Arabidopsis thaliana: one gene and its partners. The protein of the gene in region 1 purifies or fractionates together with the protein of each later gene. This does not show direct contact. Each region holds a gene or a part of one and is shown in the gene's direction. Other genes may lie near its edges.

Region 1 (3,756 bases):
AAAAGAAAGGTTACCAGAAGCAGAAGCTATATGGAGAGGAGTGTTGATGAAAGGTATTGCATCAATGATTTCAAGAATGTATGGATTCTCATGGATATGAGCATACAATTCATCGATGCTTCCGATTTGAGTAGCTACGATCAATCTTGGATCCATTATATCAAGAACAAGAAGAAACAAGTCTTTGTTTTTCTTCAAGAAATAAAAACTTTACATTTACTTATAGAATATAATGTCATCGTTTGAACAAGTATTTGATGTTGACTTGACCAATCATTTGTTTAAGCCAATAGAAGACAAACACTAGATGAACTCAGAGAAAGAGACTACAAAAAAAAAGTCTTCTCTAGGGATACTACAAATTTAAGTAGAACTTGATACATTAATTTAAGAGAATATAAATCCTACCAACCCAACACATTGTGAAAATCAGAATTCACAACATGAGAGTAATCATATCACTAAAACGTCGTCGTTTGATCATATCAAAATAATCAGCAAAGATATAAATGATAAGAAAGTCGAGAATTCGACATGTTCCAATACGACACAAGCAAAGTCATTGGCATGCTGGAGCCATTGGAGTAGTCGCCGGTATAATGACAACAAGAGAAAATGATGAAAGCTCCCATAATTTCTGATGCTTTGCCAAAGAGAACAAGGTAAATAAAGATTCCAAAAACCATGTACGTAGCTAGCTTTGAGAGCTTATTGTTTCTCTACTAACGTGTAACATTCTTTGAACATTGTAGAGCATTGGAGATCTAAGTTTGAGCAAGATATTGGCTGGAAAGACAAGGAAATTAGCTGCTCGAATGTTTTCGACATTGGTAATTGTTCCTCAATAGGGATTGTTCCTTTATTTTTCTATCTCTGCATTGCCTCTTAGCTGAAATGTGTTGTTTTTTGAATTACAGGTATTGAAACAGGATCAACCATATGGCGATATCGCTCTGAAACAGTGTTAGGCATTAAGCGTACATTGATCTAGCTTCAAACAATTCTAAACCGCATATAAGATAAATCATTATATACTAATTTTTTTTTTGGTAAGAGTATATACTTAGATATATAGTATAAAACAAACATAAAATGTAATGATTCATCATTTATTTAATAACATAGCATTTTTTCTTTTTTTGAGAAATCACTTCCCAATTAAGTGATTTTGCAAATAAAAAAAGTGATAATCATTTACTTCATTAACTTTATAATATGGTTATGTACCTCATCATTATATACTGTAAACTACATTTACAAAGATAATTTTGTAGTTATAGCCAAAGGTCAAAAGTTGAAAACTCTCTCTCTCAAATCTTAAAACTAAAGCACAAATTTGAGATCACATATCCATGCATGTATAATGTATTGTCACACTAAAAATCGGTTTAATTTCTCTTGAGTTTTAAACCAATCGAGTTGTAAACAAGTTTCGGTCTAATTTCGAGATAAACTTGGTTTGGTCTTCTGGTTCAATTAGCTCGGTTGCTGTTTATTTTTTATCATTCATATATAACAAAATCGACAACGATATAGTAAATGGGCCACCGGCAAAACAAAAATATAGTACATGGGCCTTTATTAGTCACTATGTTAAGCCCAATACAAATCGGTGTTTAACAGTAAGCGAAGCCCACCATCATCAGAATAAAAGTATGTTCCACTCTCAGGAAATGCCTTGGTAGAAAAACCATTCTTTGGTAACTTTCGCTTACTCTCTCCCCATTCTCTCTCGAAGAGAGCCTCGCCGGAGTTTGTTTTTCTTCTTGTTTCGCGGCCAAAACCGCCTTTGTGTAAAGCTACCTTGTTATTTTCCTCCGTTAACCATCTGGGTAAACTCTTCGCTTGATTTTTCTGTTCTTCCCCCTTTTTCGATTTCTCACTGTTTTTAATCTACGATTCAACTTGTTTAAATCTCGTTTTCGTGTTCTTCGATTTGATTCTTCGTTTAAAATCATGTTCTTAACTCGATCCATTTTGATTTCGCTGCGTTAGACAAGTAATTGATTTTTGTTTTTTCTTGTTCTTCCATTTCTAGGGTTTCGCCGTGCGAAGCTTCCGTTCGCGTCTTTGCTTTAATTTTGAGATTTTATTGATTCTATTTCGAAGTGGTTTTTTTTTTCCTTACCCTAATTTTTCTTTCTGGGTCTGAAATTTGGTGTAATTTACTGCAAATTTTGACCTATTTTGAAGGCTATGAAACCCTAGATTTCAATTTGGATTCGTTAAGTTTATATCTCTCGACATTGTTTCACGTTTTTGATATATATAGAGTCTAATGTTTTGCGATATTAGTTCTCATTTTCACGTTTTTGTTGCCAATACCTATATGTATATGATTATGTCCTGCGCATTTGGAGATTGACGTTGTTTAAAAACTGTTGAACTTTATTTGGCATTCACGAGATAAGGTTTTGTTGGTCTTTTCAATTTTTGATAAAAAGATTAGTCTTTTGTTTTTTTCCTGATTAGTGAAAGCTTTAGGCTTGTGAATCTCTCTCTGTCTCGTTTATGTAAAACTTTCTTGTTTCTGAGTATTATTTTACTTTTTCTTCGCAGTATAGGTTGCTGCTGGACTCTTTAGATGGCAGACTCTCGGAATGGTAATGCCCGAGCCCCTCCTAGTGGAGTGCCTCCAAAAGCTGGGAATACTTATTCCATAGATGTTAAAAACTTTATCTCACGTGCAAGAGCATTGTATGAACACTGGAAGAAGCACAGTGCAGACTTATGGGGATCTGCCGACGCTCTTGCCATTGCTACCCCTCCTGCTTCTGATGATCTGCGTTACCTGAAATCTTCAGCGTTGAATATTTGGCTTCTTGGGTATGAGTTTCCAGATACAATTATGGTTTTTACCAAGAAGCAGATCCATTTCCTGTGTAGTAGGAACAAGGCTTCTCTACTTGAAGTTGTGAAAAAACCTGCACATGATGAGTTGAAGCTTGATGTTATCATGCATGTTAAGCCTAAGGGTGATGATGGAACAGGGCTGATGGATGCCATATTTCGTGCCATCCGTGATCTATCCCGGGGTGATGGAAATGATTCACAAGTTGTTGGACACATTGCTCGTGAAGCCCCTGAAGGTAAGCTTCTGGAGACATGGACTGAGAGGCTAAAGAATGCAAACTTCCAGTTCGTAGATATAACTGGGGGGCTGTCTGATCTATTTGCTGTTAAAGACGATACTGAGGTCATGAGTGTGAAGAAAGCTGCGTATCTAGCCTACAGTGTGATGAAAAATGTTGTTGTTCCAAATCTTGAGAGTGCCATTGATGAGGAGAAAGACGTCACCCACTCTGCCCTGATGGATCTCACTGAGAAAGCGATACTTGAGCCAACTAAGGCCAGTGTGAAACTGAAGCCAGAGAATGTTGACATATGCTACCCTCCGATATTTCAAAGCGGAGGCAAGTTTGATCTCAAACCAAGTGCTGCAAGCAATGATGAACTGCTCACTTATGATCCAGCGAGTATCATAATATGTGCTGTTGGTGCTAGGTATAATAGTTATTGCTCAAATGTTGCCAGGACCTACCTAATAGATGCAACTTCTCTCCAGAGCAAGGCATATGAGGTTCTTCTCAAGGCACATGAGGCTGCTATTGATGCTTTGAGGTCAGGAAGAAAGATAAACACTGTCTATCAAGCTGCCCTTTCTGTTGTTGAAAAGAATGCCCCTGAGTTCGTTGACAAGCTAACTAAATCTGCTGGGACTGGTATCGGTCTGGAATTCCGAGAGTCAGGATTAAA
Region 2 (3,756 bases), 8.8 Mb from region 1:
TTTTTTTTTCTTTGAAGAGAAAATGTGAAAGTACAAGAGAGGGGTGAGTGAGGCCATCACTAATTTCAACCGTTCAAAATTTACAAAATGTGTGTCAGGGAAGCTTCTACAGTTCTACACAAGTCCCATCATTTTGATGATACTAAATCAGTAGATTGCTACTACTATTGGGGCTTTGTTTATGATTCTTTTTCTATAACACACAATATATTTCATTTTAAGAAAAAAGAATTTCTAGAAGAAGTTTATAGCTCTAAAAATGGTCCAACAAAACCACCGAGAAACCAAAATTTAAATCAATGTTTAGGCTCTTCTACAATTGATTTCAGTAATTTTCTAAAGAGTAAGAACCCCTTTGGATACGTTTCTGTATTATTTATTTTTCGTAAGGTTTGGTTATTTTAGGATGGCTCTACAAAAAAAATACAATAAACATCTAAAATAACTTGTATCAATTAAAAATAAATATATGCAAATTTCATGCTGCACAGTGGACATCCAGTGGAAGTATTCGAGAATGATTTAACTGTGTTGTGTTGTTTGGTCAGATCGCTGCTAATTGCTATTCTCAAGTCTCAACCTTCTTTTACTGGTACGCACTCAAAGCCCATTATCACCGAAAACATTTCGGTGGATATTTTAATAATTCTCTAATTGATAAGCGTGATTTTATGTCAACTTACAAGGCTTTTCAAAGCCCAAAAAGGGCCACAGGCCCAAGCATAAAGAGAAACATTCACACCATATCTATTTTAAAGATTAATAAAAATGAACAAAACTGATTTTAATTGTAAAATAACAAAAATTTGCTTTCATTGAGAGTTGAACTCAAGACCTCCCGCTTACTAAACGGGTGCTCTAACCAACTGAGCTATGAAAGCTTTTGCTGTTACAATTAATTAAAATCTATATAATACTTTGTAACAAAACTTTTTTTAAGTGTTAGTTAATTTAAAAAGCGTTAATCAATTGAAATGTGGACCTCTTAAAAAAACTAACAAATACAAAAATGCACCATTTGTCCATAGAGTATTGGAAACTAAGTAAACCATCTTCATACTATTGGTCACAACCAAATCCCTTTCCAATTTGTAACGGACGACTAATTTTGGTTTTGTGGTCAAGACTCAAGATAATGCTAATTTTTAAACAAAATTACAGTGCATGAATCTAATCTTTATTTCCTTCTTCTTTTATAACCTTTTTCATACTTACCATTTGCATGCCTCTCTTTAATATTTGTTTTATTCTATAGAAACAAATCACATTATATTGCATTGAATAGATTTTTATTTAAGTTTCATTTATTTGTTTTCAGACACATATCTTTAGATACTAAAGATATAACTAAATATTTAAATCTTATTTCTGGTCAACCCATTCAGACAAAGAATCTTAAATAAAAAAAACTTTAAATTAATTTCTTCCCTAAATATGATATATATTTTTTAATTATGTTACATAAATGTATATATACAATATAAATTTATAGTTTTTTTTTGGTAAGCATATAAATTTATAGTTTGACCAGTGTCAAGGAAACTTAATAAATCAAACAACTTTTTATACTAATAAAATAAAATAACTTTTTGTTTTAATGATATTTAAATATTTAATTATTCAATATATGGTTATTTTGATAATTTTATTTTAAATCATCATCGAATTTCTTGTTGAAATTTCAAAATTGCCGCGTAATCTTAACGGTTTTAGGTACAATTTCATTCACAAAAACCACTAGGACTCACTTCTAAAAATTTCTCACAGCCACAACTACATCTGCATCCCCTTCTGGTTACAAATTAATTCACCTTTACATTGAAATTGACAAAAAAAGGTAGTGTTATCTCCATAAAACAAAATTAAAAGGAAATAAAGAATAATGACCACTCCCTCTCTATATATATAAACAGACGTTTATCATATCCTTAAGAATCACCCCTCTTGCGTTTTAGCTCCCTTGCATTTTCTTCATCTTGTACGCTCCTCCTTGGTCTTAGATTTTCTGAGATATTTCTCTTTTCACTCTTTCTTGTTACGATTTTATCTAAAAATTTAATGAATCATATTTACTGACCAAACACATTGTTGTGGTTTTTTCATGCAGAGAAATGGCTAATCTGTTGCAAAGGCTTCGTAGACGAACCGGGCCAAAGCCAGATTATATTGAAGACAAGTTGGATGAATACATTCGTGAAGAACAAGTTGAAGAAACAGGCGGAAGTAACCAGGTATGTCTTTGTCTTGTTGTGAAATTATAGATCTGCAGTGACTTTTAATTATTTGATCCATTTCAGGATTGTCCTCTTGGCGAGATTGAAAAGATTTTGGACCGTGAATGGCGTCCTACTGCATCTAACAATCCGAATTCTTCTGACAACGGGACACCAACCCTAGTTGTCGTGAAACAATATCTTGTGAAGTGGAAGGGGTTATCGTACTTGCACTGCTCTTGGTAAATTCCCAGCAATATGCGATATCGTGTTGTATTTAATTAAACATGTCGATTATTATGTTTTTGTTGCTTCTCTTGTCTGGTTATCTTATCATCACTTGATTATTAATGTCAATTCTTAGGGTGCCCGAGCAGGAGTTCGAGAAGGCTTACAAGTCCCATCCTCATTTAAAACTAAAATTAAGGGTGACCAGGTTTAACGCTGCTATGGACGTATTCATCGCTGAGAACGGAGCTCATGAGTTTATCGCCATTCGTCCTGAATGGAAAACTGTTGACCGGATTATTGCTTGCCGGTTAAGTGATTCAAGTCTTGTCCTTTGTTTTTATGTCCTTAACTTGATAGACCTCGTTGTGACAATTATGTTTTTTTTTTTTTTTTTTTCCTTTGTGATTATTTATTCATGCGTTTATATTTCTTTCTCTATCTTCTGTGTAGAAAAGTGTGACACTTAATGGATTTCGTTTTGACAATTATGGTTTTTTTGTTTGTGATATGATGTAGGGAAGGAGATGATGGGGAGGAGTATCTGGTGAAGTACAAAGAACTTTCTTACAGAAATAGTTACTGGGAATCTGAATCTGACATCTCAGATTTCCAGAATGAAATCCAAAGGTTTAAGGATATAAACTCTAGCTCTCGTAGAGATAAATATGTCGAAAATGAGAGAAATCGAGAGGAATTCAAACAGTTTGATCTTACTCCTGAATTTCTTACAGGTATTTTATTAGACTACTTGAACAATTTGTATACAGTTTCTGTATAATGTTATTGATTTACTTACCTTATATGTTTTTAAGGCACATTGCATACATACCAGCTCGAAGGGCTGAATTTCCTAAGGTATTCATGGTCCAAGAAAACCAATGTAATCCTTGCGGATGAAATGGGACTAGGTACGTCTTCAAAAATCCATTTCTTTTTTGGGGTTATTCATAGGCTTTGCTTTTATCATTTGTGTAAAATAAGATTGGTTTTGTGGTTGCTGCAGGCAAAACTATTCAGAGCATTGCCTTCTTGGCCTCTTTGTTCGAGGAAAACTTATCTCCTCATCTAGTTGTTGCTCCTCTCTCAACCATCCGTAACTGGGAGAGGGAATTTGCCACCTGGGCACCACATATGAATGTGGTATGTATCATGTTTCGTATATATATGTCACATATACGGTATTAGTTATTTATTAATGTTTTCATCGTATGATATATGCAGGTTATGTACACTGGGGATTCGGAAGCACGTGATGTTATATGGGAACATGAGTTCTACTTCTCTGAAGGGCGTAAAAGTAAGTTTGATGTCT
Region 3 (3,756 bases), on another chromosome or scaffold:
CTGGCATTCTTGATGAAGACAACACGTTTTGCATTTTTTTTCTGATAAAAAGTCTTCAAATTAAAATGCCAGGTTACAAGACCACAACCTTTTGGTTGGATTGGGTCATGTGGTTTAGAGAGCGAAGAGATTAGTGTTACAGCTAATCGAGAAACTGAATAACAACATAAGGATGAGAAGATGAAGTAAAGAGGGGGAGTGCATGTGCATTCTAAATTACTAGAAAACACTAATTGAGTAATTGTAATGACCACGGGTCCACGGCCTTCTCGACCACCAACACGTTTTGCATTCTTGAATGACCGTGCTTTCAAAATTTGCGTGTACGTAGCATGTGAACATAGAGGGTTACAAACTTGCATCACTTTTTAAAAAATCATCATGTGATAGCATAAGATGACAAAAGAGAAACGATGTAACAAACAATATTGTTTTTGGTTATCCAGTGGAGATGATTATACTAATATATTCTGCAGAATCACTCTATTTTTGGACACCTTTTAGCCAATATTAGAACAATATCTATTGGAACCCACCCAACGACACGTCTTCACGAATTTCTCAACAAAAAAAAATACTTATACCAAAAGCTAATTTTGTTGAGTGTGATTTTCAAAAGTAAAATGGTTGAAAATTCAAGACACTTCTTTTCATGAATTAATAATGCATATACAAACTCCATGTGATTTCAGTCCGTTTGGTTTTTCCATTTTTTTCTCATTTTTCGTAAATAGAAATAACCTCTAAGTATTCTATCGTGTAAGAAAATAATTTAAGTCTAGAGAAACACCTAACCTTTAAATTAAAAATCATTAATTTTATAGAATAATTTCTTTTTTTTGGCAACGTTAAGCGCCTTAATAACTAGGCTTAAATTAAATCCTTTTTTCAAAAGATGTGATATAAGAAATTATCAATAGTAATTTGGTTTGGTGTTGGGGGAGTGAGTGCCCGTTGTAGTTTTGATCAGTCTGGCGTTTGCTTCCGGTTTGGTGCTGTTTGTGCTAGAGTTTCTAATTGGTTCGTGCTTCTAGTGATCTAGCAGTCTCTTCTAAACACTTGTCTTTGGCTCAAACTCGGTTTCTATTGATTCAAGTGATCGTCGGTCTGGTTTGCTTCTTTACTTTTTTCAGTTCTTAGGATTCATTATCCCATCCTCCGTTGTTTGCTTGATCTTTTTTTTTTTTTTTTTTTTTTTGTTTTGCAATTCTTAATTGTTATGGTTTTTTGTGCTATGAATTTTATTAAGTGTTTTCGGTAGATTCTGCTTTAGTTTTCGAGAATTTCTTTGTTTTTTATAGGTTTAATATTTTAAAAATATATTTCACCTATATATTTTATCATTAGTTTATATAATGAAAAAATTAGTGGAAAAAAGAATTATCAATATAAATTTGTATGAATATGAAAAATAAATCTCTTAATGAATCGAAAAAAATACCAAATATATTAATTAAATATCAGCTAAAAAAAGAGTTTCATAAATATTTTTAAAAATAAGAAATGCTTCAAAACTTCAATTAGTAGCCTCTTAATGCTGGTGTGAACCCTAGAAGTACGAAAAGCCTTTTTCTTTGTTTCTCTTCGCAAAATTCAGAATCAAATAGAGACTAGTTTTACGATCACAGAGTTTCTAGGGTTGATCTCCATCTTCATCGATTTCGTATAGCTAAATATTCTAACCTAGTCATGAATAGGATCGACGAAGGTACATAAAAAGCTCTGCTTTCAAAAGCCCTAAATTCTCTGTTATTATTATTTTTCTAACGATTCGACTCTGTTTTTGAGACAGAGCCCCAGATTCATGAAGATCCAGTGGAGAACCGTGAGGAAGATGATGAAGACGAAGATGATCAGTATGAGTTTGACGATGGGTTTTTAGTGAATGGTTCTGATGATGGAGAAGAAGAAGAAGAACAGAGACATTGTAGTGAGAAAAAGAGTAGAAGTCGAAGGAAGAAAGACGAATCCTTTACTCTTCACGAAGATGATTATCTACTTCTTAAAGATAACAACGACACTTTCCAAAGAAACAAGTATAAACGTTTGAAGAAATCTTCAGAGGAAGAGGATAAGATCAATAATGATGATGATGATGATGATTTGAGTCACTTCATTGTAGATGAAGATGATCATGGTGCTCAAGGAATGAGGAGGAAGAAAATGAAATATAAGCAAGGAACTGATTCGAACGCTTTACGATACGCTAATGATGTATTTGGTGATCCTGAAGAATTGTTGAAACTTCGGAAAAAGGATTTGAAGTATAACGAAAAGATCGAAAGAAAGTTAGAAGATGAGTTTGAACCAATGGTTCTCTCTGAGAAGTATATGACGGAGAAAGATGATGAAATTAGGAAGCTTGATGTTCCTGAGAGAATGCAGATATTTGAAGAAGCCATTGGAATTGTTTCCCTAGATGACATGAGCATTCAAGAAGAGAGCAACTGGATTTATGCTCGATTGCTTCAAGAACAAGGGCAGGGTTGTTTGATTAATAAGGATGACATTGTGAAGTTTTTAGAGATGTTTCATGTGCAGAAGTTAGAGATACCGTTTATAGCTATGTATCGGAAGGAGCAGTGTCGGAGTTTATTGGACAGTTCTGATGATGATCATGATGGTAGTGATTTCAATCTTGACAAGAAGCTTGAGACCAAGTGGCATAAAGTCTTGTGGATGATTCAAGATTTGGATAGAAAGTGGGTTCTTCTGCGGAAAAGGAAAACCGCGTTGTTTGGTTACTATACCAAACGTTTTGAAGAAGAAACCTGCATGTCTGATCTGAATAAGAGTCTTTTTGAATCTGTTATTAAGTCTCTTCAAGCGGCGGAGACAGAGAGAGAAGTTGATGATGTAGACTCAAAGTTCAACTTGCATTTTCCTCATTGTGAGATCGATGAAGGACAGTACAAGAGGCCGAATAGGAAATCGCAATATAGCATCTGCAGCAAATTTGGGATTAAGGAATTTGCAAACAAGTTTGGTTATAGCGCTGAGCAATTGGGACTAGCGTTGTCTCTTGAGAAAGTTTTTGTTGATGAGCTTGAAGATGCAAAGAAAACACCAGAGGAGATGGCATTGAACTATGAGTGTGCAATGTTTGGAGATTCTCAAGCTGTTCTTAAAGGTGCAAGGCATATGGCTGCGGTTGAGATAAGCTGCGAGCCATCGATTAGAAAGTATGTTCGTGGAATTTTTATGGAGAATGCAGTAGTCTCAACGAGTCCAACACCAGATGGGAATGTGGTTATAGATTCCTTCCATCGGTTTTCTGCGGTTAAGTGGTTAAGCGAGAAGCCATTGAGAAAGTTTGATGGTGTACAATGGCTTCTCATTCAGAAAGCAGAAGAGGAGAAGCTTCTTCAAGTAACTTTCAAGCTGCCTGAGAATCAGATGAATAGGATAATTAGTGAATGCAGTGAACACTATCTAAGTGTTGGTGTTAGTAAGTATGCTCAACTCTGGAACGAGCAGAGGAAATTGATACTGGAGGATGCGGTTCATGGTTTTGTTTTGCCGTCAATGGAGAAAGAAGCAAGATCCTTGCTAACTAGCAGAGCGAAGACTCAGTTGCTTTCAGAGTATGGACAGGTTTTATGGAACAAAGTGTCTTCAGGGCCATATCGAAGGAATAATAATACCTCGGAGGAGGAAGCTGCACCGAGGGTCCTAGCTTGTTGTTGGGGACCTGGAAATCCAGAAACTACATTTGTGATGCTTGATTCATCAGGAGAGCTGGTTGATGTGCTTTAC

What was found.
Region 2: the proteins of SPT16 (region 1) and PKR2 fractionate together in Arabidopsis thaliana (co-fractionation; one large-scale study listed by BioGRID). This does not show direct contact.
Region 3: the proteins of SPT16 (region 1) and AT1G63210 fractionate together in Arabidopsis thaliana (co-fractionation; one large-scale study listed by BioGRID). This does not show direct contact.

The regions. Positions count from the first base shown.
Region 1 is NC_003075.7:6,604,279-6,608,034, reverse strand, and holds the start of SPT16 (global transcription factor C), read left to right. Parts: upstream 1-1,677; 5' UTR 1,678-1,832; intron 1,833-2,038; exon of another isoform or gene 2,039-2,559; 5' UTR 2,560-2,584; coding exon 2,585-3,756. Other genes in the region: AT4G10720 (Ankyrin repeat family protein), read right to left, coding at 1-156. UniProt on the Arabidopsis thaliana protein: Component of the FACT complex, a general chromatin factor that acts to reorganize nucleosomes. The FACT complex is involved in multiple processes that require DNA as a template such as mRNA elongation, DNA replication and DNA repair.
Region 2 is NC_003075.7:15,429,417-15,433,172, forward strand, and holds the start of PKR2 (chromatin remodeling factor), read left to right. Parts: upstream 1-2,111; coding exon 2,112-2,231; intron 2,232-2,297; coding exon 2,298-2,455; intron 2,456-2,467; coding exon of another isoform or gene 2,468-2,537; intron 2,538-2,577; coding exon 2,578-2,751; intron 2,752-2,960; coding exon 2,961-3,175; intron 3,176-3,256; coding exon 3,257-3,352; intron 3,353-3,447; coding exon 3,448-3,584; intron 3,585-3,665; coding exon 3,666-3,756. UniProt on the Arabidopsis thaliana protein: Chromatin remodeling factor that represses the expression of embryonic trait genes upon and after seed germination and thus enables the developmental switch to post-germinative growth.
Region 3 is NC_003070.9:23,441,540-23,445,295, forward strand, and holds the start of AT1G63210 (Transcription elongation factor Spt6), read left to right. Parts: upstream 1-2,148; coding exon 2,149-3,756. UniProt on the Arabidopsis thaliana protein: Transcription elongation factor that enhances the transcription elongation by RNA polymerase II (RNAPII).